Linked DNA regions of Canis lupus familiaris. The protein of the gene in region 3 interacts with the protein of the main gene of each other region in a pairwise test. Links are inferred from orthologs where the notes say so. Each region holds a gene or a part of one and is shown on either strand. Other genes may lie near its edges. The genes, in order: ERCC3, NEK6, XIAP, NTAQ1, CKS1B, UBE2W and CASP10.

Region 1 (4,004 bases), on a different chromosome or scaffold from region 3:
AAGAAGAAAAGAAAAAAAGAAAAGAAAGAAAGAAAGAAGAAAGAAGAAAGAAGAAAGAAAAGAAAAGAAAAAAAAAGAAAAGAAAAGAAAAGAAAAGAAAAGAAAAGAAAAGAAAAGAAAAGAAAAGAAAACTCTCAGATCTCAGGCTGCCCCTGCTGCTTCCCTTCTGGATCGACTACTGCATTGTATCTATACTCCTGCAGGCAGCTCACAGCCAACACTGAGCACAGCTAGTGTGCTGATGCAGGGTTCTTCCCAGCAAGGTGCAAGCCCTTCTCCCTGGGTACCCTCCCCACAGCACAAGAGAAGATTCTCACCAGGGCTCCTGTCAGCTTCTCTGAGTTTGGATACATTAGTGTGCCGGATGCCTGTGGCACTTGCCTGCCACTCTAGGTTTGGGGGTCTGAATCCAACTCCCTTTAGATCAGCCAAGGGCAACAAAAGTCCCCGTCTATCTCTTCTGAATGGCATTCGCCCATCTCTCAGGACAAACCCAAGCGTGTTCAACTGCTCTTCATATGGAACCTTATGCACTTCAACATTTGGAAGTTCTTTTCCACATTCCCAAACAGAAACTGTTAGCCATTGATCCCATATAGGCATTCAGCCTGAGATAGTCTACCAGTTATAATTAGTCTACTCAGTTGCCATACAGAACACCATAGACTGGGTGATTTAACAACAGAAACATTTCTAGAAGTCCGTGATCAAGTTGCCAGTGATTAGTTTCTAGTTAAAGCTCTCTTCCTGGCTACCCTTTCACCACGTGCTCACATGACCTCTTCCTTGTGCACAAAGAGAAACAGACCACATGAGCTTTCTGGCTAACTCTTCTTAAAAGGATGCTCATCCTACTGGATCAGGGCCCCACTCTTATGACCTCATTTAACCTTAATTACGTCCTCATTCCAAATACAGTTGTGTCAGGGGTCACAGCTTCAGCATCTGAATTTTGGAGGGGACACAATTCAGTCCAAAACACCATCCACTTTTGGTTGCATTCCCAAATAGTCCTGGCCAGAAGGGCTGAATTAGTATCCCAAGTGTGTTAGTATCCACTGTATTGGAGCAGCTCATGGGAAGGGTGGCCTCAGCAAGCATACCAAGCTGGATCCAGAAGAGGAGCAGCTGGGGTAATCAGTTAGGTGTGCTGACCACATGGCATTTTCACACCTGCCATAGGCTGACAACGTGTAGCATCTGTGCCCACTATTACTGCATTAACAAGGAAGGCAAAAGAGCTGGCCTTAGCCCCCACTTGCCTTAATAAACTGAATAATTCCATCAGGGACACCCGTCTTGCTGAGCTTCCTGAGGTACTCAGTGATGTCACTAGTTTGCAACCCAACACTGACAGCTGCATACAGGGAGTAGGCCGTTAATTTGTATTCATGCACATGGGTTGGTCGGCACACTGGTTCTGCAATCGCCACCAGGAAGTCTTGAGCATATTTGTAAACTGGAGAGAAGGCTTCCAAGAAGATGTGGCCATCAGGAGCCTAAGAAACACCAAATGGACACAAGAGGCAAAGAAATTAATTAATGACTCTTTCCCAGAGCACTATTCAGAAAGGACAAGCTGCCCCAGAAGTGATCTTAAACACCAGGGATGTTTGTGTAAGCACTGCTTCAGCCAACTGTGAAACCTGTTACTTTAACCACAAACAAGAAATGCAGAGACTAGAACAGGTTTCCAAAGTCAGGAGCTGCTTCCTCGTTTTCTTCGCAGGGAAAGCCCACCAGATGGGCTACCCTCAATGTACCTTCTGGCCAGGTTTCAAAAGAATGTAGAGTGTTAATTACTTCAAGTTGAGCAAAAGTGGTACCTAGCAAATACAAAGTTTCTATTAATTTTTTAAATGGGGAATTAAAAAATTACATAATAAACGGCATTTATCCGGTGAATAAAAAAAGTATTTCCACGCATGCGGTCTAGGTGGAAGGAAGAGGAGTAAGAGGAATGGCTGGGGATGAACGGGCCCAAGTCCAGCCAGCACGTGCTGCCCCACCTGCTCATTCCTACCGCGGGCCCCCCACACAGTATGCAAGAAACTCTCTCCCAAGCAGCTCTGCGGAGCAGTAGCCGCATTTGTTTTGGGCCCACAGCCTCTCAGTCCTGCCCTCGCTGAGGCATGCTCACCACCCAGAGAGGCCTCGAGCCGTGGTCGTCCTTCAGGGGCATCTGCAGCCTGTAGTCCTTGGCTCCGTACTCATCCACTTTGGTGCCGGACTCATCCACCTGCTTCCCGGCCGCCGAGGGCACCGCCTCCTGGGACTCGTTCCCGGGGACGTCGTCTTCATCTTCTTCTTCATCCTCGTAGTGCCGCTTCTTGGACTTCTTCTTATCTGCAGACACGGGCACAGAAGTGAGCCCGACAGAAACCTGGCAGCAACCACATTCCGCCGACGCCACGCCCTGCTAGCCCGGGGCCCGCTGCGTGCCGCGGCGTCCTCCCGCGGCGTCCTCCCGCCGCGAGGCCTCCCACCCGGCGCGACCTGGGGTCCGGATCGCCCCGCCCCGCCCCGCGGCCGGTCGCGGCAGCGTGCACAGGCCGCGAGATGCGGCGGGGTGGGCGGCCGCGGAGAAGCCGGGCCGCGACGCCACCGGCCGACGGGGACGGCCCCCACGGCGCCCGCACCACGTCTCACCGCGGTCTCTCTTGCCCATGGCAGCGGTAGCGGCACACGGCCTGCGCCGCCGGGTCTTGGCGGCGGCCGCTCTCAGGGCTCTCACTTCCGCTGCGCACCGGAAGCCCTTTCGGCAGGCGCGCAGGAAGTCCCGCCTCCGGGCTCGGGGTCCGGGCGGGCGCGAGCGAGCTCTCCGCTGAGGTTCCTTCTGAGTGTTCGGCTTCGGGCCCCTCCCCCACCCGTTCTTTCCTCTGGTCGTTGAAATATCTATTGAGCATCATCAGTATGAGCGTGCAGGCGCTGTCTTTAGCTGCTGGGGTAGGACTGAGCAAAGTGGAGCCCCTGGCCTCCCGGAACTCGAGTTCTGAGAGAGATGGGGGCGATGAACAGTTGCAGCGTGAGGAGCTCCAGGAGGAGCGAAGCCGGCCCAGAGTGGCAGGGCCGGTCCAGGCGGGGAGCCCCCGCAGTGCCTCTCTCAGGTGGCGTGATTCAAGCAGAGGTTCTGATAAAGGGAGCCAGTGTCCTCCGCAAATCCCCAGGGAGGAGCTGTGTGAGCCTAGGACTGGACCTCACGGGCTGGGCGTCCGATGGGAAGAAGCTGAGGGAGCTTGTGGCTGCGAGGAGCAGGGGGCGAGACCCAGCGCCCAGCACCAAGCATGCAGGTTGGTGGTTCTCAAAGTGGGGTCCCCTGGTTGCATCAACATGGAACAGAAACGTTCAAACTGAGGAGAGAGGCACAAAAGCAAAGTGTCCAGCCCTACCCCAAAACTCTAGAGGCACAACAGCCTTGACCTCCACTCGATACTGATGGCCAGGTTTGAGAACCACTGATGTAGAGCCTTGTAGGCCATGCACAAAACTCTGGGCTTCATTACAAAATAGAAAACTGCTGGAGACTTTTGAGCAGAGAAAATCTGATTCACTATTAAAAAGCCCACAGTAGCTGCTGTGTCAAGGATAGCCTCTACAAGGCCAAGGGCAGCGATGGCGACTCTCTAGTGGAGAAAGGCCGGCTTTATGAGGGTGGTAGGGATAAAGATGATGAACAGTGGTTCCAGCCTGAATGTATTTTTTAGATAGAGTGGGAATTGCTGACTGGGTTTGGAAAGTGAGAGACAGGAGTAAAGGATAACTAAGATTTTTGGCTTCAGCAACTGAAAAAATGATGTACCTTAAAGAAGGCACAGGTTTGAAGGGTGGTTTGGGACATTCTGAACTGGAGTGGCTGCATTAGTCTACCAAGTCCCAGAATAAAATGCCACAGACTGTATGACAAACAATAGAAATTTATTCTCCTATAATTCTGGAGGATGGAAGTCCCAGATCTAAGTCCTGCTCTCTTCCTGTATTGCAGATTACCAACTTCTTGCTTTCTT
Region 2 (4,223 bases), on a different chromosome or scaffold from region 3:
CAGCCCTTTCTATCTGACAGTCCTGGCCCTAGGCATGGGTCATCCACCGCCGAGGGGCAAGAGTAGACAAGGAAGGAGGGCAGCACTTCTGGGAAGACGTCTCCCAGAAGCCCAGAGCCTGGTGAGGAACCTGGCCCCGCAAGAACCTGGAACACAGTGACCTTTACTTTCTACGTCCAATGGAAAGATGGAGGGCTCTGCTCAGACAAGCCTGACTTCAACCGCACAGCATCCTGTGATCTTTGGCACATGATTTCATCTGTGTCCCCAGTTTTCTCATCTGTAAAATGGGCACCATGATAGTTCTGTCTCTGTGCTGCCGGGTGGACTGGGTGAATTTAGGTACTTACAGCTTTCGTGCCTGGCATATGGGATGCCCTCAACAAATGGTGGCCATTAGTTGTGATGCTACTTTCATAAAATTATGCCTCGTATTCCATCTCTCTGAGCCTCAGTTAGGTCATCTGTAAAATGGAGATGACAACCCCCAACCTCATGGGGAAGATGAAATGAGTAGATGTGTGTGAAAGCACCGAGCACCCAGCCTGTGCACCTTCAGAAGACAAGTTATCAGGCCCCTGGTGTGGAGGGCAGACTGGAAGTCAGGGAGGTGACAGGATTCTGCCTCTACCTCCTCTCAGCAGTCCCAAGACACAGGGTTGACAGAGACACAGGTCTCTGTGTCTCTGCGCCCACAACTACTAGGAGGATTAAAAGTGCACACAGTAGGTGCTCCGTAAGCATGACTTCCCCTGCCCTTCCCCTGCCCCCTCCTCGCTCAAAGCCACTGGAAACGTCACCTGGCAAAGCCAGGAGCTTCGATTCTTGAAACCCGAATGATCTGAAATGGCTCAGAGCCCAGACCAACCTGGGCCACTGCTTCAGTCTGAGACTTTATTTTCTGAAGACAGAAACTACTTTTAGTCATTTCCGAAGCAGACAGGACGGCAGAGGCTGACAAACCACAGGGACCATTTTAAATCCTGGGCCTTTTCTTCTGGGAAGTTAGGCAAGAACCTTCCCAAATGTTTGCCCGTGGGGCTCTCTGCCAGGGAGTGACTCATCCACAGCTCCCCACAGGCATATTTTATTTGGGGAGTGGGGGATGGAGGGAGGGCCTGGCCTTGAGGGGAGAAGAAGAGGCAGCCTTTCCAGCAAACCCAGAAGGTGGGTTGGGTTTTGTTTTGTTTTGTTTTTTTCATTTCTTTTTAGGACAAAAAAGAAAAAGAATGTGGATCTTTTTTGTTTCCTTCCAGGTTTTGTTTGCTAAAAGAAGACGTCCAAAGTTCACTCAGTAAGCTGCTGCGTTGGGAACAGGCGCCTCCAGCCGCTCTGCATCCCTTTCAATGAAATTCTTCTTCCATTAACACCACGATTTTTAAATGTGCCTCCAAGATCTGCCTGCGCACGACATTTTCTCCTCAGAAAGTCTAGCTGAGTTTTGAAAATTCAGGGGGACGAGGGAGTTCAGTGTTTCTGAAGTTGCCCTTAAAGCAATCGAGACTTTTTTTTAAGATTTGTTTATTTGTTTGTTTACTTATTTATTTATATGAGAGACACAGAGAGAGAGAGGCAGAGACACAGGCAGAGGGAGAAGCAGGCTCCATGCACCGGGAGCCCGACGCGGGACTCGATCCCGGGACTCCAGGATCGCGCCCTGGGCCAAAGGCAGGCGCCAAACTGCTGAGCCACCCAGGGATCCCCAATTAAGCCTTCTGACTGCAGAGATTTTCAACATTTCTAAAGCTCCCCCCAAAACTGTGTCAAAGCTGCGCAGACAGACCTTGGAAATCAGTGTCCCAAGCCTGCTGTGATCAATTTGTTACTGTCTTGGGGGCTCATGCTTGGAGCCCAGGCTCAACAAGTAAATAAGTCAGATGAATACGCATCTAGTCGACAGAGCAGGCAGAGACAGGGCGAGAGACCCTCAGATACACAGACAAGTGTCCTGGCACCCCTGGCCTTCCCAGGGTCACCGTCCCCCATCCCCACCCCCCAAGGCCCGCGGGAAAGATGAAAATCTGCCCGGGCCAGAGACCGGAAGAAGAGGAGCCAAGGGACCCAGAGGGGGGTGTTCAGGAAGAACTGAGGCCGCGTCCTCTAGCAGCAGGCCGAGGAGCCCTGCCCGCCGCAGCAGAGCCGCAGCCCAGCCTGAGCATCCTGGGGCCCCACCGAGGCCCGGCAAGGAGGCCTCCCCGTCTGCGGGGCCCAGCCTGGCTCTGCGGGTCTGACCTCCGCCCCCCTTCGGCGCGCGAGGCCCCGCACCCGCCGGGAGCCCACCCCGGGCCTAGTTCCCTCCGCGGGCTCCCTGGCACCCGGGAGGGAGCCGCCTGGTGGGTGCAAGGAGGTGCCCGCCCGCGTGCGTGAGAAACGCATTCACACCCTCCCGGACGCAGGGTGCATGTTCGCGTGCACGGACACGTACACTTTTGTCCTCAAAGGCTCCCAAACGCGCCCAGAAGTCACTCGTGAGCACTCGCGCACGTGCACACACGCACGCCCGGAGCCTGGAGCACGGCTCCCCATCCCCACGGCACGGGCCCCGCGAGCGCTCGGCCCCGCGGGAGCCCCGCCGCGCCCCAGCCCGCCCGCGGCCCCGCACGCCACCGGCCGGGCCCCCGCGACGCGCGCGCCCCCGCCCCCGCCCGGCCCGGTTCCGCCCGGCCCGGCCCGGCCCCAGGCCACTCACCGGCGCGCGGGCGGCTCGGCTGCCTCGGAGGAGCGGCGCGCGGGCGGCCGGAGCGGAGCGGGGCGGAGCGGGGCGGAGCGGAGGGTCCCACACTCGCGGCCGCACGCCCGTCCGCCCGGTTCCGCCGCCGCCTGCGCGGGCCCGCGCGCTCCCGCCCCTCCCCGCCGCGGGCCCGCGCGCTCCCGCCCCTCCCCGCCGCGGGCCCGCGCCGCCCCCTGCGCTCGCTCCCGCGCGGCCGCCACGCTGGCCCGTGGGCGCCCCGGGGAGACCGCAAGGCGCCCGGAGCCCCCGGGGCCGCGAGACGTCCGCGCAGCCCAGGCGCCCCCTCCCCGTTCCAAAGATGGGGAGACTGAGGCCCAGACCCTGCCGGCGAGTCGGCGCCAGCAGACCCCCCTTCACCCCTAGTCCCCGGGCTCTAGACGCTCAGGGCTGGGGTCCGCACTCAGCGAACCGGGGACCCGCCCCCGCATCCCTGGGTACCCCCCGACGCGGCCCCCTCCACGGCCCTGCGCACCCTGGGTAGCCAATCAGCTCTTATTGCGCGCCTACTGGATGCGGCGCACGTTTAGGAGGAAGCTCCAAGGGCATCTCCGCCTGCTGAAGGTGCTGCCCCCTGCCCTCAAAGCGCCAGCGTCTCCTTATATGGAGCTCCCCAATGCCTGTGAACCCCGAGATAGGGAGAGTCGAGGTGCAAAGGTTTCCGGGAGAAGGCCCTACTGAGTGGGTAACACCCTCTCTAAGGAGACAGAGTCTCCATGGGGCCCCGAAGGCTGCAGCTGGCCTCCTAAGGGAACCTGCGCGCCCCCTTCCCCCAAGAAGGGCTCCGGGCCGGCTCGCTCAGCTCCCGCCTCCTGCATCGGCCGCTGCTCCTCCACAGGCAGGACCGTGCGGTGTCCCCCCAGGACGCCTGGAACCAGGAACTGACACTGACCACCTGCCGGCTGTCCAGCTTAGTGACAGCACCGTGCCGAGCCCGCAGAGGACCCCCCGGCGCTCCACCTGGCTGCGACCTGTGACAGTAACGACACCCGTAGGACCCCCGCCAGGTGTCATACTCACAACCGCACAGCCATTCTGCGAAGGAGGCGTTATGCCACTTTCATGCCCGTTTTACAGATAAGATAAATGAGGTTTAGAACAGAAGCTGAGAGAGCCCAGTTCTCTTGCTCAAAGTCACCCAGTTGGTAAGGGTTGAGCAGGGAGCTAGACCACAGCACAGACTAACTCCAGTGCCCAGTCTCGGCAGTCCCACCTCATAAACAACATAGCTCTGGACTGCTGGTATAAGAGGGCACGGGGGACAGCTGGCACAGACGGCCCAGCCCAGTCCCAGCCTTGCCGTGAACCAGCAGGGACAGAACAGGTCATTCTACACGTTGGTTAGCGGTTTGGTCGGGGACCTACTTACAGTCTCACTTCACATGATACGCATCACAACAGATATCAGATAGATTGAAGAGGTAACTCCAAGAAATAAGCGTTTCAGAAAGTGATAGAAATAAATAGAAGTTCTGAGACAGTGTGTTGCAGTGTT
Region 3 (3,500 bases):
AACAGAACATGGTATTATCTACACTAAGGAAACTTTTTCTACCATAAAAAAAGAATGAAGTAATCATGTATAAGTACCACAACATGGATGAACTTCAAAGCCACATATTATGATTCCATTCATATGAAATGTCTAGAATAGGTACATCCAGAGAGATAGAAGTAGATGAGTAGTTGTCTGGAGGCTGAGGGGGAAGGGGCAGCAATGGGGAGTGGCTGCTAATGGATACAGGGTTTCTTTTTTGGGATTATAATAATGTTCTGGAATTAAATGGCAGTGATGGTTTGTTCCACAACCTTGTGAATTTACTAAAAACCACTAAAATGTACAGTTTATAAGGGTGAAATTTTTGCTACATGAATTACACATCTCAATTTTATTTTATTATTGTTTCTTTTCATATCTCAATTTTTTTAAAGACTTATTTATTTATTCATGAGAGAACGGGGTGGGGGTGGGGGGGAGACACAGGCAGAGGGAGAAGCAGGTTTCCTGCAGGGAGCCCAATGTGGACTCAATCCCGGAACCCAGGATCATGCCCTGAGCTGAAGGCAAATGCTCAACCACTGAGTAACCCAGGCATCCCAATAAATGATTTCTTAAACTTTATTATTTATGCCCATTTCAAAATCTGTATCAAATATTATCAAAGTGGCTCTCCTTCTTAAGTATATTTATGAATACTTATAGTTTTCTCTTGTCTTGTAACCCTTAAGATACCAAAAAGATGATGGTATAAGGAATGGGGAATCAGCAGACATATTCTAAATTACACTTTCTACTATTTTTGAAACATGATGCCTAAGCTGGAAATGAGATCCACAGTGTGATGCAGATTTCAGAAGACCCCGTTAATAGTCCCAGTTCCACTAATGATTTGTAAATGTAACTGTGGGCGGGTCACTTAACCTCCTGGTCTCTGTTTCAGCATCTGAAAAGTGGAGATAACAATATCATCTTTGCTTAACATAGTATCTTTCTGGATTTTTAAAAAAAAGATTTTATTTACTTATTCATGAGAGACACAGAGAGAAGGCAGAGACATAGGCAGAGGGAGAAGCAGGCTCCATGCAAAGAGCCCGATGTGGGACTCCATCCCGGAACTCCGGGATCACACCCTGAGCTGAAGGCAGATGCTCAACCGCTGAGCCACCCAGGCATCCTGGTATCTTTCTGGCTTTTAAAGATGTTTATGATGAGTAAATAATCTTTGGGATAAAAATCTCTACCTTTCTATAAGGTAAGAGAAGATAAACTGAACCATGCCCCTCTGTGAAGAAACTGGGGGAGGCTCAAGAATGGCATGGGATAAGGAAGCAGGTAGGGCCGACCATGGTGATGGCACATTAGTACAGCACTGGATTCATGGTCCTGGCTAACTCAAGAAGTACCTGGGACAAAAATACACTTATCTCTCTTCCTTTGGGGATTTTAACAGAAATGGCAATGGACAGCCTATAGCTGCTCCTCCTAAGCTTGGAAAAGCTAACTGCACAACCGCCATAGGAATGTCCTTTCTTAAAATTTTATTTTTACTTTACTATAATTAGTATCATTTTATGTAATGTATATAATTATATAACTTATAATATAATTTAGTATAATTTAAATTTTTCCAGTACAATTAATGTACAGTGTTACATGAGTCACATGAATGTTCTTACTATATAAATATCTGACTTAAAAATTTTTTTAAAGATTTTATTTATTTATTCATGAGAGACACAGAGAGAGAGAAGAGAGACAGAGGCAGAGACACAGGCAGAGGGAGAAGCAGGCTCCATGCAGGGAGCCTGAAATGGGACTCGATCCTGGGTCTCCAGGATCACGCCCTGGGCTGAAGGCCGTGCTAAACCACTGAGCCACCTGGGCTGCCCTGACTTAAAATTTTTAAAAAGATTTTATTTATTTATTCATGAGAGACAGAGAAAGGGGCAGAGACATAGGCAGAGGGAGAAGCAGGTTCCCTGTAGGGAGCCTAATGTGGGACTCGATCCCAGGACCCTGGGATCATTACCTGAGCCAAAGGCAGATGGCTCAACCACTGAGCCACCCAGCTACCTATAACTGACTTAAATTTATAGGCACTTCCTAATCCTTAAATTTATAGCAATCTCATCTCAAATAAATCTACTTTGATTATCTTGAAAAAATAAGCTTATGTCTCTACCCTATAAAAAAACAACTGTAATAAACTGCTAATGAAATTAAAAGTATATTTATTTTAATGTACATACTTACCAATTCTTTCAGTTAATGACCGTGTTCTTTCAGCAGTTCTTAGCTGAAATAGAAATATGGACTATAAGTTAGAATTCTTTTTGGTAGAAGATGATTACCTCAATTTGAAAAGTTACACTAATCATGAATTTATAAATTGGCTTTATTCCAATTCAACATATGAATGTTTGCAAGAGGCATAACCTGATGAAGCTAGAAGGAAGGTTTTTTTTTTTTAAGATTTTTAAAATTTATACATGAGACACACAGAAAGAGAGAGAGGCAGAGACACAGGCACAGGGAGAGAAGCAGGCTCCATGCAGGGAGCCTGATGTGGGACTCGATCCCAGGACTCCAGGATCACGCCCTGGGCTGAAGGCAGGTGCTAAACCACCGAGCCACTCAGGGATCCCCACTAGAAGGAAGTTAAAAGATCATCTAACACAATCCACTCACTCTATAGACAGGGCACTGAGTCTCAGGGAGTTTAAACAACTCGATTGAGGCAAGGGAGCTCATGGTAGAGCCATAAATGACAACTCTGGCTTCCCATTCTAGTCCATGGCTCTTCCCACATGGTACCAATACCTTAGCCATCCCAGGCTGCCATCAATTTAGACACGCTTCTGAGATTTAAAATATTGCCTTTGGAAAGTTCACAATTATTTATGAGTATAAAACACATTATACAAAAGTCTAATTTCAGAAAGTTGAGGGATTAAGTATTTTAGTTCTTCAAACCCATTTTTATTTACAGTGAGTTAAATCAATCAGCTTATGGGGATTCCTCTTTCACAAAGCTACTTCAGGTTAAGAAATAACAAGCATTCGGGATCCCTGGGTGGCGCAGCGGTTTGGCGCCTGCCTTTGGCCCAGGGCACGATCCTGGAGACTCAGGATCGAATCCCACGTCGGGCTCCCTGCGTGGAGCCTGCTTCTCCCTCTGCCTGTGTCTCTGCCTCTCTCTCCCTCTCTCTGTGTGACTATCATAAATAAATAAAAAAATTAAAAAAAAAAGAAATAACAAGCATTCTTCAAGATCTCCCCTTTAAAGCCCACCATACATTATTAATTTAAGATACTATACTGTGAATTTTACACCAAGAAATCATTGCAAAACAAATTAAATAATATTTTATATTCTACAATATGTGACTTACCACTGAATGGGTTAAATGAATATTGTTTATATATTCTTGTCCCTTCTCTTCTAACAGATATTTACACCTAAACAATTAAAAGAAGGTTAAACTTTGGTAGCTGATAAATCAGTAAAGTAT
Region 4 (3,500 bases), on a different chromosome or scaffold from region 3:
GTCTTAGTTTCCCAGATTGTTATGGGAGCTCCCTGAGTCTCTATCTCCTCCTTTATAAAACAGAAACAGCCATCTGAACCCTGCCTACTTTATCATGGTTCCATTAGCATGACATGATGCTTACAAAAGTGCTTTACGGGCTCCAGGATGGATCATTTGGTAGCGTGTGTGACTCTTGATCTCGGGGTTGTGAGTTCAAGCCCCACATTGGGTGTAGGGATTACTTAAAAATCTAAATCTTTAAAAAAAAATTTAAAAGGTGCTTTACAAAATATTAAGGGCTTTTTTTTAAGGGTTTGCTTTTTTAATAATTCATGTAAGTTTATCATAATTTTATTTAAACTCCAGAGACAAAAACATCTTTACTTCAAACCTGAGAGTACATGGCTGTAGTCTAAGGAATTTAAAAAGCTTTAACTTGTGTAAATACACCATCATCTATTTCTTGACCTACAAATAAGGGACTTAACTTTTCTAACTCAACTGTGCCCTGAAATGAGGGGAAAAAAAAATCTCATTCAAAAATAAACTTTAAAATGTTATTTTATTTTATAAAGCACGTTAGGACAGCACTGACCCCATATATTATATTTAGTTTCTACTATCACCCTAAATCTCTTGTTCTCTTTCTGCAATCAGTCACCAACTTACCATCTTCCTCTCATTAGATATGAAGACAGCGTAACACTCTTCTAAAGGATACTGGTCATGGTTTTTGATGTATTCACAGAGCTTCCAGATATTTTCTTCACTGAAATAAAATAATAGTTTCATCAACATAATTATACAATGACTCTCTGTGTCTTTCAAATTTGAACAGAAGACTGATGAGGATATTAAAAAGTTGGAAGAGATTTTAAACACCACCTCATTCAATAACTAGCTGATGCCTGACCCTCCTCTAAAATATCCCCAACAAAGTGTTACCCAAATTATACTGTGTGCTGAGCTCTCTCCAAACACAGCAGTTGTTACCTGCCCCAGCAGTGTTTGCAAATGGAGGCATTTTATAACTGATAAAATGCTACATCAATACTCCACAGCTTTGGGTCCAGTGACTCGAGACACAGCTGGAATTCCAACTCAGCCACTTAAACAAGGTAAGAAGCTTTGAACATCTTGACCTGAGTATCTACTTTTCTTACCTGTAAAATGAGGATAATCATATTTTAAACACTTGAAAAATCTTAGTTAATATTGGTTCACTGCTCCCCTTAGGAAAGGGGCAAGAATAATGTTTTGGGTAGGAGGGCTTCTGGCTGGAAAGGACTGAGGGCAGTTACATGATATGCCTAGGAATTCTTTTGGAGAGAGACTCTGAGTGGGATTCCCTACATCCCTCTGGTACAACAGAGGTCCTGACTTTTAGAAAGTTTTCTCATACTGAATTAAAATCCACCTTCCTATATTTCAGCCCCAGATAAATGTCTCTATGACAGGCCTTTAGATATTTAAAACAGTAGTCAGAACCACCTAAGCAATGCCAAGTGCATCAAACCAAGCCACACTGGTGGCCACAGGCACACTCCCACACAGGTAAAAACATTCACTGCTGGCAGTATTCACAGCTCAGCCCCTGGATTATTTTTTTTCAATGAGGCACATAGCACCTTCGTTCAAAACAACCTGCATCAACACTCTGCTCATACTCATGATTCAACTGTCAAAGTCTAATTTCCAAACACCTACACTATGCCACTTGAAAATAAAGTAAGGCATACACGGCACTAAGGACTACCACCATTTTATGACACACGTTCAATGCAGTTTTGACCTTGTCTACCTGCACGACTACATTTAAAGCACCGAAATGAAGTGTATTTTTTTCCTATGATTTTTTTCTATAAGATACCTAAGAAATCTTAACAGAAAAAGTAGTGGCAGAGGTAAAAACAGGAAACTGCTACTACTTCCATAGGCTATGTAGTATGGGGTAAGCAAAAAGGTACAGTTTCAACATGACATATGACGTGTATTAGCTACATTTTAAAAAACCTGGATGTTGGGCAGCCCCGGTAGCTCAGTGGTTTAGCGCTGCCTTCAGCCGAGGGCGTGATCCTGGAGACCCGGGATCGAGTCCCACATTGGGCTCCTGCATGGAGCCTGCTTCTCCCTCTCCCTCTGCCTGTGTGTCTCTCTGTGTGTGTCTCTCATAAATAAATTAAAAAAAAAAAAAAAAAAAAACCCTGGATGTTCTAAGACCACATTTTTAGAAGACATGTCTGTCCAGCCTCTAGACATTCTTGAGTTGATCAAAGACATCAAGAACCCATGATATAAAAGCACCATGCTAAGTGGTTGGAGAATGTAATGATAAATTAGAGCTTGCAGACAGTGAGAGAAGACATACAGATCCATAAATAAGCAAGCATCATAGAAGGCCATAAAAGATGCACAGAAGGAAGCGTCATTGATTTTGAGGGGCACAGGAAGATGGAGGGCATATAGGTCAGGGGTTTCTCCTTGTGTTGCCCTTCCCCCAGGCCTAAGGATGGGCACAGGGTTAACACAAAGATTTTAAGAATCTGTGTGTACCCCAAGTACTGTTGGCAGGCTGAATATGTACGTGGCTGGACAAACTTTGTCTATTATCTTTCAAATATGTGTGAATGTTACAAAGAGAAATAAAAATTTAAACTAAGAGTCACTGAATTTGTAGCCCCTTTTTATTATCAATTTTTTTCCCAAGAGTACAATTAATAACATGTAGGAGGATCTCAAGAAACTTGATGTTTAAAAAAAGGGGGCCTGGGGACACCTGGGTGGGTGGCTCATTCGGTTAAGCATCCAACTCTTGATCTCAGCTCAGGCCTTGATCTCAGGGTTATCAGTTCAAGCCCTGCATGGGGCTCACTCTGGGCATGGAGCCTACTTTTAAAAGGTTGAGGGGGGTACTTATACTTGGAAATGCTGGGGTTACTGGTGGAATAGGAAGAAACCCAGATTTGGTATGAATCCTAGCACCTCTTTAAAAAAGGGGGGGGGATCCCTGGGTGGCTTAGCAGTTTGGCACCTACCTTTGGCCCAGGGAGCAATCCTGGAGTCCGGGATTGAGCCCCATGTCGGGCTCCTGGCATGGAGCCTGCTTCTCCCTCTGCCTATGTCTCTGCCTCTCTCTCTCTCTCTATGCCTATCATAAATAAATAAATCTTTAAAAAAGGGGGGGGGGGATTGTGATAATAACGTTCCAACCTACTGGTTGATTACTTTGTTGTAGCAGAAAAACTAACAACGCAGCATTAAGGTCAAGATTCTGCAAGGATTACTGGTGATGGGCTGAGATCAGAGAAGCATGAAGGTAAGGATCCCTGGCACACAGGAGGAGCTCAACCAACATCTGAAGAGTACAAAGAGAATCAGACATGTTCTGCAAACCACCTAGTGCCACACAAATACTGGTTACCACTATTATCACTCAGCTGGGTCTGAACAGATAAATAACATCTGACAGAAGCTAAAAGACACAGAGAGGAGGCACTTATTCCAAGTTATAAAAACCT
Region 5 (4,139 bases), on a different chromosome or scaffold from region 3:
CCAAAAAACTAAACAAACAAAAAAACTCAAACAGCAAAAAGGCCACTGTCCCCTCCACCCACGCCAGGCCACCGTTTCCAGGCAGCAGGACACTCTAGCTCCTGGTGCACCCGCAGGTTGCACGCCAACCTCACGGCCCTACCAGCTCCCGAGGTGCGGGTGCTAGCCCTACAGCTGTCTCTGGGGCGGAGTCTGTCCTGGGCTGGGAACCCAGGAGCAAGTCTCTCGGCCCCTTTGGCGCCAAACCCCAAGTCCAGGCCCCTCTCCGCGGGGCAGGGGGAGGGGCAAGGGAGGCGGAGGGCGGCCCCTGACCTCGCCCGGCTCGCCCCACCTGCTGGAGCAGAAGCACTGGCTCCGCAGAGCTGAGCCCCAAGCCCAAGGAGAAGAGAAGCTGTGTCAGCAAGGGGCTTCGGGACTACCACAGCGCTCCGAGGGGCGGAGCCCGCCCCACTCTGGACGCTGCCCAGGGGGAATGGGCCCCACATCACGGGTACCGGGCACTGTAAGAGGCGAGGCTACAGCACCGCCCGACGCCATCAGGCGGGGGGCGGGGCCTCTCGGAAGGCGTAGCCTCTGGGGCGGGGCTGCCGGCACTCGGCCGGGCCTCGGAGGGGCGGGGCTCTGGCCTCCTGGGGGACCCGTCGCCAGAAGGCGAAGAATCGGAACTCAGAGAACTACCGTCAGGTTTCTCACAGTCGGACTTGGAAGCATGTTCGGGGGTGGGACTTCCAGGAAAGCTGGGCAGCAGGGTGGGGTCGTGGACAATACACAGAAAACAAGTCGGGGTTCGGGGAGCCCCCTGAAGATGGGGGTGGGACTTCCGGGGAGGGGGGTCTCAGGGGGCGGGACTTGCACATGAAGACCGGAAGTAGGGTCCCGGGAGAGGGGTTCCGGGGTGGAGGAATGGGTCACCTTAGGAGAGGGAGAAGACCTAACTCACCAGGGCCTCATGGAGTCTCCGCACCGCACCGCGGCTCGATTTGGTTCCGGATCACGCCACTGCCTCCTTAGGTCGCCGTTCCAACTTTCTCCCCGGCCTGGCCTCCCTGAAGAAACTTTATTGCACTCACTTCCGGCCTCACTAACCCCTGACCCTCTACCTCAGCGTCCCTCCTTCAGCCGTCCCACTTTGCCGAATCAGCCAATGGCAATGCGAGAACGCGCACGGGGGCAGGAATAGCCAATTAGAGGCATATTTTTTCCCTACGCTCATTCTTGACTAACGTAAGCAGCGCGGTCCAATAAGGACTCGAACAGAAGCAAATCTAAACCAATCGGCGGCTTGAAGGTGGAGTAGTCCCGCCTTAAACCATGGGGTCCAATAGGAAGCGCGGGCGGCGTGTTTGAAAGCTAGGCCAAAGTGGGTGGGAGCGCGTGCTGCTGGGAGTTGTTTGGAGGTTGCCGGAGTGGGCCTGACGGTCCTCAGGCTGAGTGATCATGTCGCACAAACAGATTTACTATTCGGACAAATACGACGACGAGGAGTTCGAGTACCGGTTAGTGCCGCCGCGGGGGCCATAACGAGGTCGTGAACTTTGACAAGTGAGGGCAAGAGGAGTTAGTCACCGGGGCTGAAGCAACAGGACCGGCGCATGCGCGGGGGACTCCCGGGGCGCGGGCGCGGAGCGTAGCAGGGCGCCTGCGCGAGGGCCTGGCGGCGAGAGGGCGCGGACAGCTGCGGACCGCAGTGTGTCCCGCGCCGGGGAGCGGGCGGAGGGGGCGTGCCTAGAGCTCGAGGCCTCCGCACCCCGCACCATGCGGGGTTCTGGATCGTTCTGGGAGCTTCCCCGGGCACGTGGAGGTTGCCCGCTGGGGCGTGCTGGAAAGAAGTGGCCGCAGCGGTGCTGAACGATCCGGGAAAGGGGGCGCGGGCGTGCGGCTCGTGGGAAGGTCTGACCCGGCGACGCAGCGCCGCAGGCTCGGGAGTTGCGCCCGGGCACGGTGTGACGGAGGCAGCGCCGCCCCTCCAGGAGGAGTACCAGGGAAGAGCGAGGATGCTGCCCGCGTGCCGTTTTGGCTTCTTCCTGGAAGAACGTGGGATGGAGACTTGGCAGGCTTGCGTTTCCTTCCCGGCCAAGTGCGGGGCTCCGGGGACTCGGCGTGTGCTGACCCTTGGGGGACCCAGGCCACTTAGGTTTCTTTCCGCCGCTGACTGTGCGCTGCCACCTCTGCAGAGCTAGTTTCAGCTCCCCGAAGTTGTAAGTCCGGGCGCTGGCGTTGGGGGGCGTCGGTCGGGTCCGATTAGGGATCGAAGACGCTGTTTGTGAAAGAATTTGCTACTAGTACACACCTACTGTGTTTTCCCTGAGCATGATGGGGTCTATCTGGAGTAGCCCAACTCAGGTGAGAGTAAGGATTTTTTTTTTGCCATGAAAGGAGATTTATCCTTGGTTAGGAAAACCTGGGGTTTCCCAAGAGGAGTCTCATGGCAACTCTTTTCAGAGTTGGGAAAATGAAATGGAGGGTACATTTCAGAGGAGAAGATATTCACATTTCATCCTTGTGATGGCTCTTCCTCACAGCGCTCCACAAGAGGCCTTTCTTCTCCACAAAACCAGCCGTTTTCAAAACTACCTTTAATAATTAACGCTGTGAGTGTCGTGGGGCTGCCCTTAGATCGTTCTAATCAGCTAGCAGACTGAGCTGGAGGAAGGCAGGGGCGCGGTGTCCACAGCGCCTGTTCACTTGAGTTACTCACGCGTGCTTTTTAACATACTTGGGGGGACGATTTGCATAATCTGGCCTTTATTTCTAGCTGCCTCTGCCCCATGATAAGAGTACATAAACTCTCCCATTGGGAACCAATTTTTTCTTTTCTTTGCTCTCTTGGCTTTGTACACAAGCATTTGTCTAACACAACTGCACCCAGTACTGATGTGATCCCTCCGTGTTTCTGTTACAGGCATGTCATGTTGCCCAAGGACATAGCCAAGCTGGTCCCTAAAACCCATCTGATGTCTGAATCTGAATGGAGGAATCTTGGAGTTCAGCAGAGTCAGGGATGGGTCCATTATATGATCCATGAACCAGGTCGGTGCGATGGCTGAAAACAACCATTTAGGGCTCCTTGGCTGAGGAAAAGAGGAATGATAAGATGGTATAACCCAAAGAAATAGAGGTGAGGGTGGTCTATTGGTTCCTCACCAGCCACCTAGAAAAATCAGAGTGATGGGATCCCTGGGTGGTGCAGCAGTTTAGCGCCTGCCTTTGGCCCAGGGCGCGATCCTGGAGACTCAGGATCGAATCCCACGTCGGGCTCCCGGTGCATGGAGCCTGCTTCTCCCTCTGCCTATGTCTCTGCCTCTCTCTCTCTTTCTGTGTGACTATCATAAATAAATTTTAAAAAAAATTTTTTTTAAAAATCAGAGTGACAAAAAAGAGTCAAGTACTGGGAAGTTCAGAAGACAACCTGTCCCTGAAAAAACTCTTTCAATCTCTAATTCAGTCTGAGCATCACACACACACACCCGTCACCCTTTTTAAGGCCACAAACACCCTGGTAGAGGTTATGGATCCTGCATCATTCTCCATGAGAAAGCAAATTCTCAGATGTGTCCCAAATAAGCCAAGGGAAGTATATTTCTTGATAAGACACCAGACCCACAAGCAGCCAGGCAAATCTAATAAAGGAGGTGGGCAGGGGATGGGGGGGCTGTACAAACACAGCAAAGGAACTGATGCTAATAGTTCTCTGCTTAGCAGACAGGCCCAGCTTTAGGGTCTGCTTCTGAGGCCATATGCTTACATCTTAATGTAGTTCTAAAGGTCTGAAATGGGAAGGGGACGCACTACACACTGCAGAGACCAGGGTGAGCGTGTCTCTTCAATGTCACTCTTTCAGAACCTCACATCTTGTTGTTCCGACGGCCACTGCCCAAGAAGCCGAAGAAATGAAGCTGGCAGCCACTTTCCAGCCTCAAGCTTTACACAGCTGTCGTCGCTTGCTAACATCTTCCTGATAACATCATTATGTTGCCTTCTTGTTTTCTCACTTTGATATTTAAAGGATGTTCAGTACACTGTTTGTGCTGCTGACTGTTTTGCTTGAGCAGAGCCAACAGCACCATGGCCCGGCCAGTTGAGTGCTCTTTGGGCTGCAGCCTCAGCTGAGCTGTGTACCCAGCAGAGCACACTTGGTA
Region 6 (4,212 bases), on a different chromosome or scaffold from region 3:
TTATATTACATTTCTATAATTTGTATGTCTTTAAAATAGTTCTTATAGCTTCAGTAATCTCCTCAGCCGCGATAACATCCTGACGACCTGGCGTAAGATAAAGAAATCTGAAAACTTTTTAGGTAAGGACATGGTTAGAGCAGCATATGTATACTTTTTCCTAAGCACTCTGACTGAAATCCCCAAAACATCCATTTCCTAACCTCCTTCCATGCTTTCCCTTCATAGCATTATCACCTTCTAATATAATATGCAATTAACTTAAGTATTTGGTTATCTGTCTCCCCCAACTAGACTATTGTATCCAGAGCAGAAATCCTTGTCTACTTTTGTTCACTGCTCTATCTCTAGCACTCTGATTAGTAGCACAGTAGGGCCCTTAAAAAATAATTGAGTAAATAAACAAATCCAGTTGTTTTGAAAAGAGTGAAATTTTGCTATTAAGGGGCATCTAGCTGGCTTAGTTGGTAGAGCAGAGTCTTGATCTTGGGGTTGTGAGTTTGAGCCCCAGGTTGGATGCAGAGATTACTTAAAAAAAAAAATAAAATAAAATCTTTAACACAACATTTTGCTATAAAGATGGTCAGGAAAAATTTTATTCACCAAAGACGGAATAACCACACAGAAACCAGTACTGAATTTCGAAAAGCTTGATTTATCTATATTAAAATTATTTTTCAAGGTACTGTCAGAAAACCTGTATCTGAAATATCTGTATCAGATATTTCGAAAATACAAACAAGCAGTGGGAAAATACCTAAAACACAGAAAATTCCACTTATTGCAGTGGCAAATATTTTTTTTTCCATTGCTCAAGTCACCATGTAAAATTCAAGATTATCAACATTAAGTCCTGCACTGACCCAATTCTGTATTCACTTTTTTCTCTTAAACCGGGAAATTTGTTTTTTCAGACCCTCAAAGTTTACATCTAACCAGCTAACTAGTTATCCCTATAATTGTCTTGTTAAATATAATCACAGGTGCTGTGGGTTTAACCATAATTTTTAGTCTTGAAACAAATTATTTTAATCTTAATACAAACTATCTTAAATTAGTCATATAGCCCATCTACTGTTCAACTAGTGTTCCACAGTTCCTTTTTTGGCCTCAAATGACGAAACCTCTCTAACGTCTCTGGGGAGACCAGTGTAAAGTATAATGTTTCCTCAAATTGTTCTTGTTTTTTCCCTGCACCGTTTTGTGACATCCCTTCAAGTAGGAAAGTTAGACATTTTTCTATTCTTCAGGAAAGTCCAGAAGCAGCAGCAACGGTAAATAGAATATCGCATGGAAAACTGGTTGAAAGGGGATAACACAAAAGCACAAAAGTAAATGTGAAGCAAGTATGTACGCAAAAGAGGAAGATGCAGAAAAGAGAAGAAAAAAGTGTTCTCGCCTAGAAATGAAAAACAAACCAAAAACAGAGGGTGGGGGAAGATAAGAAGATTTGCTTATTCTTCTAGAAACAAAAGCACTGAATCCTAAGAAAAACGTGGGTCTCTTTAAGATGTTAAAACTCTAAAAAGCACTCAGCTGCCACTCCAAACAACAGTTCTATCTTCTCTCCCTAGGTGTTCTCATCAGAGCTAGTCTTCATTTGTAAAATTAAATGCAGGCTATAGATAAAGCAGAGTCAATCTTTACAAAACTGCAGTGGTGGTTGCCATCTTTGCCTGGGGGGAAAAAAGAAAAAACAAAACAAAACAAAAAACCACAAAAAAACAAAAAAACAAAACTCCTTGGATCTGGAAAAAAAGGAGCATATTAAGTTGGAAAGCCAGAAACCCATGAACTGCTAAGTCAGGCAGCTATGACACAGGTTAATAAATGCCTCCTACCAAACTAAGATTCCACTAAAGATCTAGGGAAGAAGGGCAAAGGGCTGGAGCTTTACCGCGACCACAAGGGTGGGGCACCGCAGGGAAAGAAAAAAAAAAAAAAATCTGAGGGCGAGCCATCCCGGAGGTATAAGGGGGCTAGTGACTCAGATCTCGGGGAGACTGCCTCTTAGGAGGCAAATGATGTTGAAGGGCCAAGGGCAGCCTCGGGAGAGCGAGTGCGCTGCCGCACTAAGGTTCGCAGAGGGTGCGAAAGCTAACAGAGGAAGGTACCCACGGGGCAAAGGAGTGAGAGTCAAAGAGAGCAGGGCCGAGCGGTCGGAGCAGCTGGGCGTGGGAGGCCTGAGCAGAGGCCGCGAGGCGCTTCTGCAGCTGGCCGCCGTCCCCGGAACGCCTTTTCAGCTCCCCCCCGCCCCCGGCCCCTCTCCGGGCCGCCCTTGCCCCAGCGACGACGGCCAGAGCAGCTGTTTCCGCCCGGCCGGGGACCGCGGGGAAGGCATCCCCGGGGCGGGCGGGCAGGCCAGCGTCAGTGTGAGCGAGAGGCGACCCGAGACCACTGCCGCCACGCCAACGCCAAACTTCACCCCTTCCTCCTCTCAGCCTTCTTTATCCCCCAACTTCCCGGCCGGCTGGTGTCCGCTTCGACCGCCCGAGGACCCCCCCCTCCCCCGCCCTTCTTCTCGCCGCCTCGCACCCCTCCCCAACGTCCTGAAGCCGGGAAAGGACTGGCCACCAGGGCCGCTCCCGAACCCGCCCGGGTGCCCCAGAGTCCCGGACGCCGCCCCCGACAAAACGCTTGCGTCCTCTCGGCGGCTCCCTCGCCCGCCCAGATGCTGCAAACTCCTCTCACCTGCATTGACGCCATGATGGAACCATCCCCCCAAGGCCGGCGAGGCCAGAGACGCAGGGGGCGGAGCCGCCGTGCTCGCGTCACGCCGCGGGGGCCCAGCATCCTGGGCGCCGGGGGCGGGGCCTCCGGTGGGAAGGCGACGGCGGGAGGGGATTGGCTGGCGCCCCGGCGGGGGGAGGGGCGGCGGGAGCGCGGTCAATGGCGCTGTTGGTACCCTCGGGCCCAGCGCGCTCTCCGGCGGCCGCGCTCCCTCGCCGCCGCGCCGGGCCTCACCTGGCGACGGCCGTAGGTTTTTTTTTTTTTTTTTTCTCTGTTTACCCTAACATCTTGATGATGCCCAGCCCCGTTGGTTTTTCTTTTTGCTTTGTTTTTCCAACCGCTGGTGGTGTGGTTGGAAGATGCTCTTGGACGTCTTCTCCACCGCGCCAGGCCCATATTCACACCTTGGGGCGCGGTTCCCCTGCCCGCGGGGCTGCCTTTTACTCTTTACGGTCTGGAAGGCTTCTCGTGTTCCCAGTGTCGGGGGAGAAAGACGCATGTCGTTGTACAATGGGATGAGGACGGAGAGCAAAACAGTACGTTGGCATTCTAAGGGCCAGGGTGGATTTGTAGAGCTGAAACTTGCCCGAAAGGGAAGAGACATTTTTAAAGTTTTTCTTTGGTTCGTGTGCTGTTGTTTCCCCCTTTACACCAGCCCCTCGGTTTTAAACTAAACGGGTATCCGTAATAGTTAGGTTGTTACGGCATTCACATCTGTGTAGGGATTTGACCCTAGACGCGATTGTTTTGTTTTGTTGTTTTGATGGATCTGTGCACTTTGTAGTATACACTTGACACCTTTTGTCACATCTGGACTTGGCTTCAGCCTGTTTCGTGGTGGGCAGTTCTGTGGTCATTTGACCTAGGGATGTATTTGAGTAGGGAGAGGTGAGCATCCAGAATTTTTTCTGGAATGCACCAGTTCTGCCAACATTTATCAGAAGCCACCTTTTAAAAAGCTATGCCAGGGACCCCCGGGTGGCTCAGCGGTTGAGCACCTGCCTTCAGCCCAGGGTGTGATCCTGGAGACCTGGGATCAAGTCCCACGTCGGGCTCCCTGCATGGAGCCTGCTTCTCCCTCTGCCTGTCTCTGCCTCTCTCTCTCTCTCTCTCTCTCTCTCTCTCTCTGTCTCTCATGAGTAAATAAATAAAATCTTAAAAAAAAAAAAAGCTATTCGACAACTTCAGTTGTCATTGGTTAAGAATAAAATGGAAGGGGATCCCTGGGTGGCTCAGCGGTTTGGCGCCTGCCTTTGGCCCAGGGCACGATCCTGGAGACCGGGGATGGAGTCCCGCGTGGGGCTTCCTGCGTGGAGCCTGCTTCTTCCTCTGCCTATGTCTCTGCCTCTCTCTCTCTCTCTTTCTCTCTATCATAAATAAATAAATAATAAATAAATAAATCTTTTTAAAAAAAGAATAAAATGGAAGCCAGAGGCTTGCATCTCGTGTTCTATCTTTTAAAGATTTAGATGGCTGATACAT
Region 7 (3,500 bases), on a different chromosome or scaffold from region 3:
AGAGAAGCACTATGAAATGGCCAGAGGTGATCTGTGATATTTAATTGGGCAAAGACTGTAATCATGAGCTATTAGCTTTGATTGTATAAACAATGGTTTTGGAAGATCACCCTGACATGTATTAGACTCCTCTCCTCAAACTACATTCAATTCCACGTAACTACTATATTTAAAAAAAAAAAAAAAAAACAACTTCTGAATATTTCTCATAGCAAATATACCATAAATTAATTTAACTTTCACATTAATAATTACAAAATCAGGCATCACTGAGAGTTATTTTTCTTCATTCCCTAGATCTTTCATGAGCACCAGCAGATACCAGGAAATGTTCCTAAACCCCTGTTATGTCCTCTGACATTCCGGTTTACTCAAGTGGGGAAATAAAATCCTGTAAACAATAACTGTCTGGAGGACTACAGCAAATCAGTTTGCCTCCAGACTGGCCCAGACACTTGGGGGAATGTAGTGGCCCATGTGGCCTCAGCCTTGTCCCCACCCACTGCCAAATACAATGACCCCTTCCTCTGAAACATCAGTGTTCACCTCTTCTCTGTCCCCAGCATGTGACTGGTCACTCCTGGGGGAAAAGCTCCCCACCCACAAGCTCTGCAATGTGCCCCTCATCCTGTGGGCAGGGTGGGAGTGGTCCATCCCCGCCCTGGCCCCCACCCTGCCCCTGCTGTTGTTTGTGCCTTTGAAGAGTGTTAAATTATGGAAGCCCCTCAGGACCCTCCTTGTCCCCCAGGACCTCTTATTTATACTAAAGTTCCCTGTTTTCAAAAAAAAAAATCTGCATCTATAAATTAAGGCTTTAAGTTCAGGGCTTTCAACCTCCCTCTTTCAGGAACTGAAAAAAATTCCTCTTGAAATTGAAAAAAATAGTAAGTTCACATAAATAAAGATATTCAAAACCTTAATGTAAAAAGTATCAAGGCTTCCATATCGAACCACACCCTCTAAGGCACAGCCCGACAACCGTCTGATTAAGGACTGAACAACATTCCCTGTGAACAGCTTTAGACTCTCTGGCTGCCTCTCTCCTCAATCCTTTGGGCCAGAGGAGCAAGTGTGTTGGGCCACAAGGCAGGGGCTGTTGACCATTGTCAGCACAGTGCAACCACCAAGAGAACCCTTGGCCAAGAGAGACATGCTATACGGTGCAGACTGAATCCTGATTCGAACCTCATGTGCAGCCAGCACTACCCATCTGTGTTTCCTTTTCAGATGAAGGAAACAAGATATTCCCTTCTCTGCTTTAGTTGGTTTGACGTGGGTGTTCCGTCATCGGCATCTGAAAGGTTCTGACCGACACAGGATTTAACCTCAGGTGGTAAAGTCTCTGCTCTCATAGTGGCTCAGTGCGTCTCTTTTCATACAGTCATCCTAGAGCAAGGATGTTCTCGGCCCAAGAGAAACAGTTCCTGCAGGAATATCTTCCTTACACTCAAGTGGTAAGTGCGTGTCGTATAGAGCAAATTCTCACCTAAGCAGATGTGCAGAAGAGAAGCCTTAGGAAGGGGAGAGCAGAGGTCAATGAACCATGCATGATCTCTATCATCATCCAATGTCCAAAACAAAGTCGTGCAGAGGAGACACAGAATGACAACAAGGGGTGTTCATGTAGAAAAGAAGTCGAAGCCCAGTTGAGGCTAAAAACAGTGGTTCTTAGAGCTCAAATTAATCTTAAAGTGTACCTGCTTCCACCCTTTACTTCAGGGATTCACAAACCAAGACCAGTTGCATTTCTCAGGGTACACAACTCCAGCTAAGACGACAGTCCAAGGCTTCAATAAAGAAAGTGTTCTAACATTCAGACTTGTCAAAAAGAAGAAAAAAAAAGAATTTCCTGTGTCAGTAAATAGGGAATTTCCTATTGTTAGGAGGACAGACAGAGGCCAGCTCCCCATCTATCTCTGATTCCTATGACGGGCGGGAGAATGGAATGATGAACCAAGCTTCCTTTCAAGTCAAAGAGTCAAACTGTCTACTACAATAAAAGTTCTTTCTGTGGCACAGGGAATACTAGTTTCTTCCGTAGTGTGTACGCAGGTTGGGGCATTTGTTTCATCGTTCCTTGTTTGTCTGCTTGTTGACTCACATCATTGTTGACGGCAGTGAGGATGGATAAGATATCTTCATGTCTGCAGGCAGATAAGAAAAAAACATGTTCAATCAGGAGACAGAAAGCACATCATAGCAAGGAACCCTAAACCATGTGGCTTCTTCCCAGTTTAATAGGCCAAGATTCCCCCTGGAATTCTGCCAAATATAAAGAAATGCTTATGTCAAAATTAAAACAAGAGATGCAAAATCAAATGAAGCTGTTCAGTTCTATATTTAGCATTTAAGAACACTATACCAGCCACATCTTGCATTTTAATTTTTTTTTCTTTTTGTTAAGCAATCTACACTGAATGTGGGGCTTGAACTCATGATCCTGAGATCAAGAGCTTCACACTTGGGGCGCCTGAGTGGCTTAATGGTTGAGCATCTGCCTTTGGCTCAGGTCATGATCCTGGGGTCCTGGGATCGAGTCCCACATCAGGTTTCCTGCAAGGAGCCTGCTTCTCCCTCTGCCTATGTCTCTGCCCTTCTCCCTGTGTCTCTCATGAATAAATAAATAATCTAAAAAATAAGTAAATTAAAAGAGTCTCATGCTCTTCTGACCTCACATATTACATTCTAAGGCACTTGATCCACAAAGGATGTTTGCATTTAATTATTTTTTCAAGTTTCTCGTCCAAACTGGTGGATAGATGATAGATGATAGATAGATAGATAAGTAGGTGATGAAGATGGAGAGGGACACTACTATTAATAATTCCCTCTCCATTCTTGGTTTGAGGAGGGATACAAAGATACACATGGCACAGTTCCTGAGCTTAAACACTTCAAATGCAGATATGAAGCATATACCAAGTATGGCATATACACAAAATTCACTAATACAAGGCAGAAGATCAACACCATATAAAAAGTGGACAAATCCCCTTCTTTTGTGGCCCCCAGAAGGCTCAGTCAGTTAAGCATCTGCCATTGGCTCAAGTCATGATCCCAGGGTCCTGGGATGGAGTCCCACATGAAGCTCCCTGACTGGTGAGGAGTCTACTTAGGTTTCTCTCTCCCCCTTTCTCTACCCCTCCCCCTATTTATGCTCTCTCTCATCACTCTCTCTAATAAATAAATAAAATCTTTAAAAAAAAAAAAGTGGACAAAGTTCCATTGTAAGTTCAGAGGAAAAAGAGCACTTCCTGCTGGGAGATGATTCCATAGAGGAGTCTTCTCTATGAGAAGCCTGGGCTTGAGTGATATTTAGCATTTATCAAAATGTTCCAGGAGTAGGCCATTCATATACTTGAGAGCAAAGCACAGGCTCTCTGGAGATGGAACTCAATTGTGAATCATGCCTGGCTACATCCCTTGATGATTGTGCGCCACAGGCACAATTCACTGTGCCTCAATTTTCTAAGCCCTAAAATAAGGACTATAAGAGTACC

What was found.
Region 1: the proteins of XIAP (region 3) and ERCC3 interact in binary tests that used the Homo sapiens proteins (3 or more experiments, as listed by UniProt). The two-hybrid records come from large-scale screens. The link is inferred for Canis lupus familiaris from reciprocal best matches to the Homo sapiens genes XIAP and ERCC3.
Region 2: the proteins of XIAP (region 3) and NEK6 interact in binary tests that used the Homo sapiens proteins (3 or more experiments, as listed by UniProt). The two-hybrid records come from large-scale screens. The link is inferred for Canis lupus familiaris from reciprocal best matches to the Homo sapiens genes XIAP and NEK6.
Region 4: the proteins of XIAP (region 3) and NTAQ1 interact in binary tests that used the Homo sapiens proteins (3 or more experiments, as listed by UniProt). The two-hybrid records come from large-scale screens. The link is inferred for Canis lupus familiaris from reciprocal best matches to the Homo sapiens genes XIAP and NTAQ1.
Region 5: the proteins of XIAP (region 3) and CKS1B interact in a two-hybrid assay, tested with the Homo sapiens proteins (3 studies listed by BioGRID and IntAct). The two-hybrid records come from large-scale screens. The link is inferred for Canis lupus familiaris from reciprocal best matches to the Homo sapiens genes XIAP and CKS1B.
Region 6: the proteins of XIAP (region 3) and UBE2W interact in a two-hybrid assay, tested with the Homo sapiens proteins (2 studies listed by BioGRID and IntAct). The link is inferred for Canis lupus familiaris from reciprocal best matches to the Homo sapiens genes XIAP and UBE2W.
Region 7: the proteins of XIAP (region 3) and CASP10 interact in binary tests that used the Homo sapiens proteins (3 or more experiments, as listed by UniProt). The two-hybrid records come from large-scale screens. The link is inferred for Canis lupus familiaris from reciprocal best matches to the Homo sapiens genes XIAP and CASP10.

The regions. Positions count from the first base shown.
Region 1 is NC_049240.1:24,666,747-24,670,750, reverse strand, and holds the start of ERCC3 (general transcription and DNA repair factor IIH helicase subunit XPB), read right to left. Parts: upstream 2,801-4,004; 5' UTR 2,669-2,800; coding exon 2,650-2,668; intron 2,347-2,649; coding exon 2,141-2,346; intron 1,500-2,140; coding exon 1,263-1,499; intron 1-1,262. UniProt on the Homo sapiens protein: ATP-dependent 3'-5' DNA helicase/translocase. Binds dsDNA rather than ssDNA, unzipping it in a translocase rather than classical helicase activity. Component of the general transcription and DNA repair factor IIH (TFIIH) core complex.
Region 2 is NC_049230.1:58,759,089-58,763,311, forward strand, and holds the start of NEK6 (serine/threonine-protein kinase Nek6), read right to left. Parts: upstream 2,801-4,223; 5' UTR 2,690-2,800; intron 1-2,689. UniProt on the Homo sapiens protein: Protein kinase which plays an important role in mitotic cell cycle progression. Required for chromosome segregation at metaphase-anaphase transition, robust mitotic spindle formation and cytokinesis.
Region 3 is NC_049260.1:96,096,813-96,100,312, reverse strand, and holds part of XIAP (E3 ubiquitin-protein ligase XIAP), read right to left. Parts: intron 3,448-3,500; coding exon 3,381-3,447; intron 2,285-3,380; coding exon 2,242-2,284; intron 1-2,241.
Region 4 is NC_049234.1:22,159,734-22,163,233, reverse strand, and holds part of NTAQ1 (protein N-terminal glutamine amidohydrolase), read right to left. Parts: intron 752-3,500; coding exon 652-751; intron 1-651. UniProt on the Homo sapiens protein: Mediates the side-chain deamidation of N-terminal glutamine residues to glutamate, an important step in N-end rule pathway of protein degradation.
Region 5 is NC_049228.1:42,484,136-42,488,274, reverse strand, and holds the start of CKS1B (cyclin-dependent kinases regulatory subunit 1), read left to right. Parts: upstream 1-1,339; 5' UTR 1,340-1,437; coding exon 1,438-1,496; intron 1,497-2,902; coding exon 2,903-3,030; intron 3,031-3,841; coding exon 3,842-3,894; 3' UTR 3,895-4,139.
Region 6 is NC_049250.1:22,894,820-22,899,031, forward strand, and holds the start of UBE2W (ubiquitin-conjugating enzyme E2 W), read right to left. Parts: upstream 2,801-4,212; 5' UTR 2,794-2,800; coding exon 2,692-2,793; intron 1-2,691. UniProt on the Homo sapiens protein: Accepts ubiquitin from the E1 complex and catalyzes its covalent attachment to other proteins.
Region 7 is NC_049258.1:10,201,323-10,204,822, reverse strand, and holds part of CASP10 (caspase-10), read right to left. Parts: intron 2,145-3,500; coding exon 1,991-2,144; 3' UTR 1-1,990. UniProt on the Homo sapiens protein: Involved in the activation cascade of caspases responsible for apoptosis execution. Recruited to both Fas- and TNFR-1 receptors in a FADD dependent manner. May participate in the granzyme B apoptotic pathways.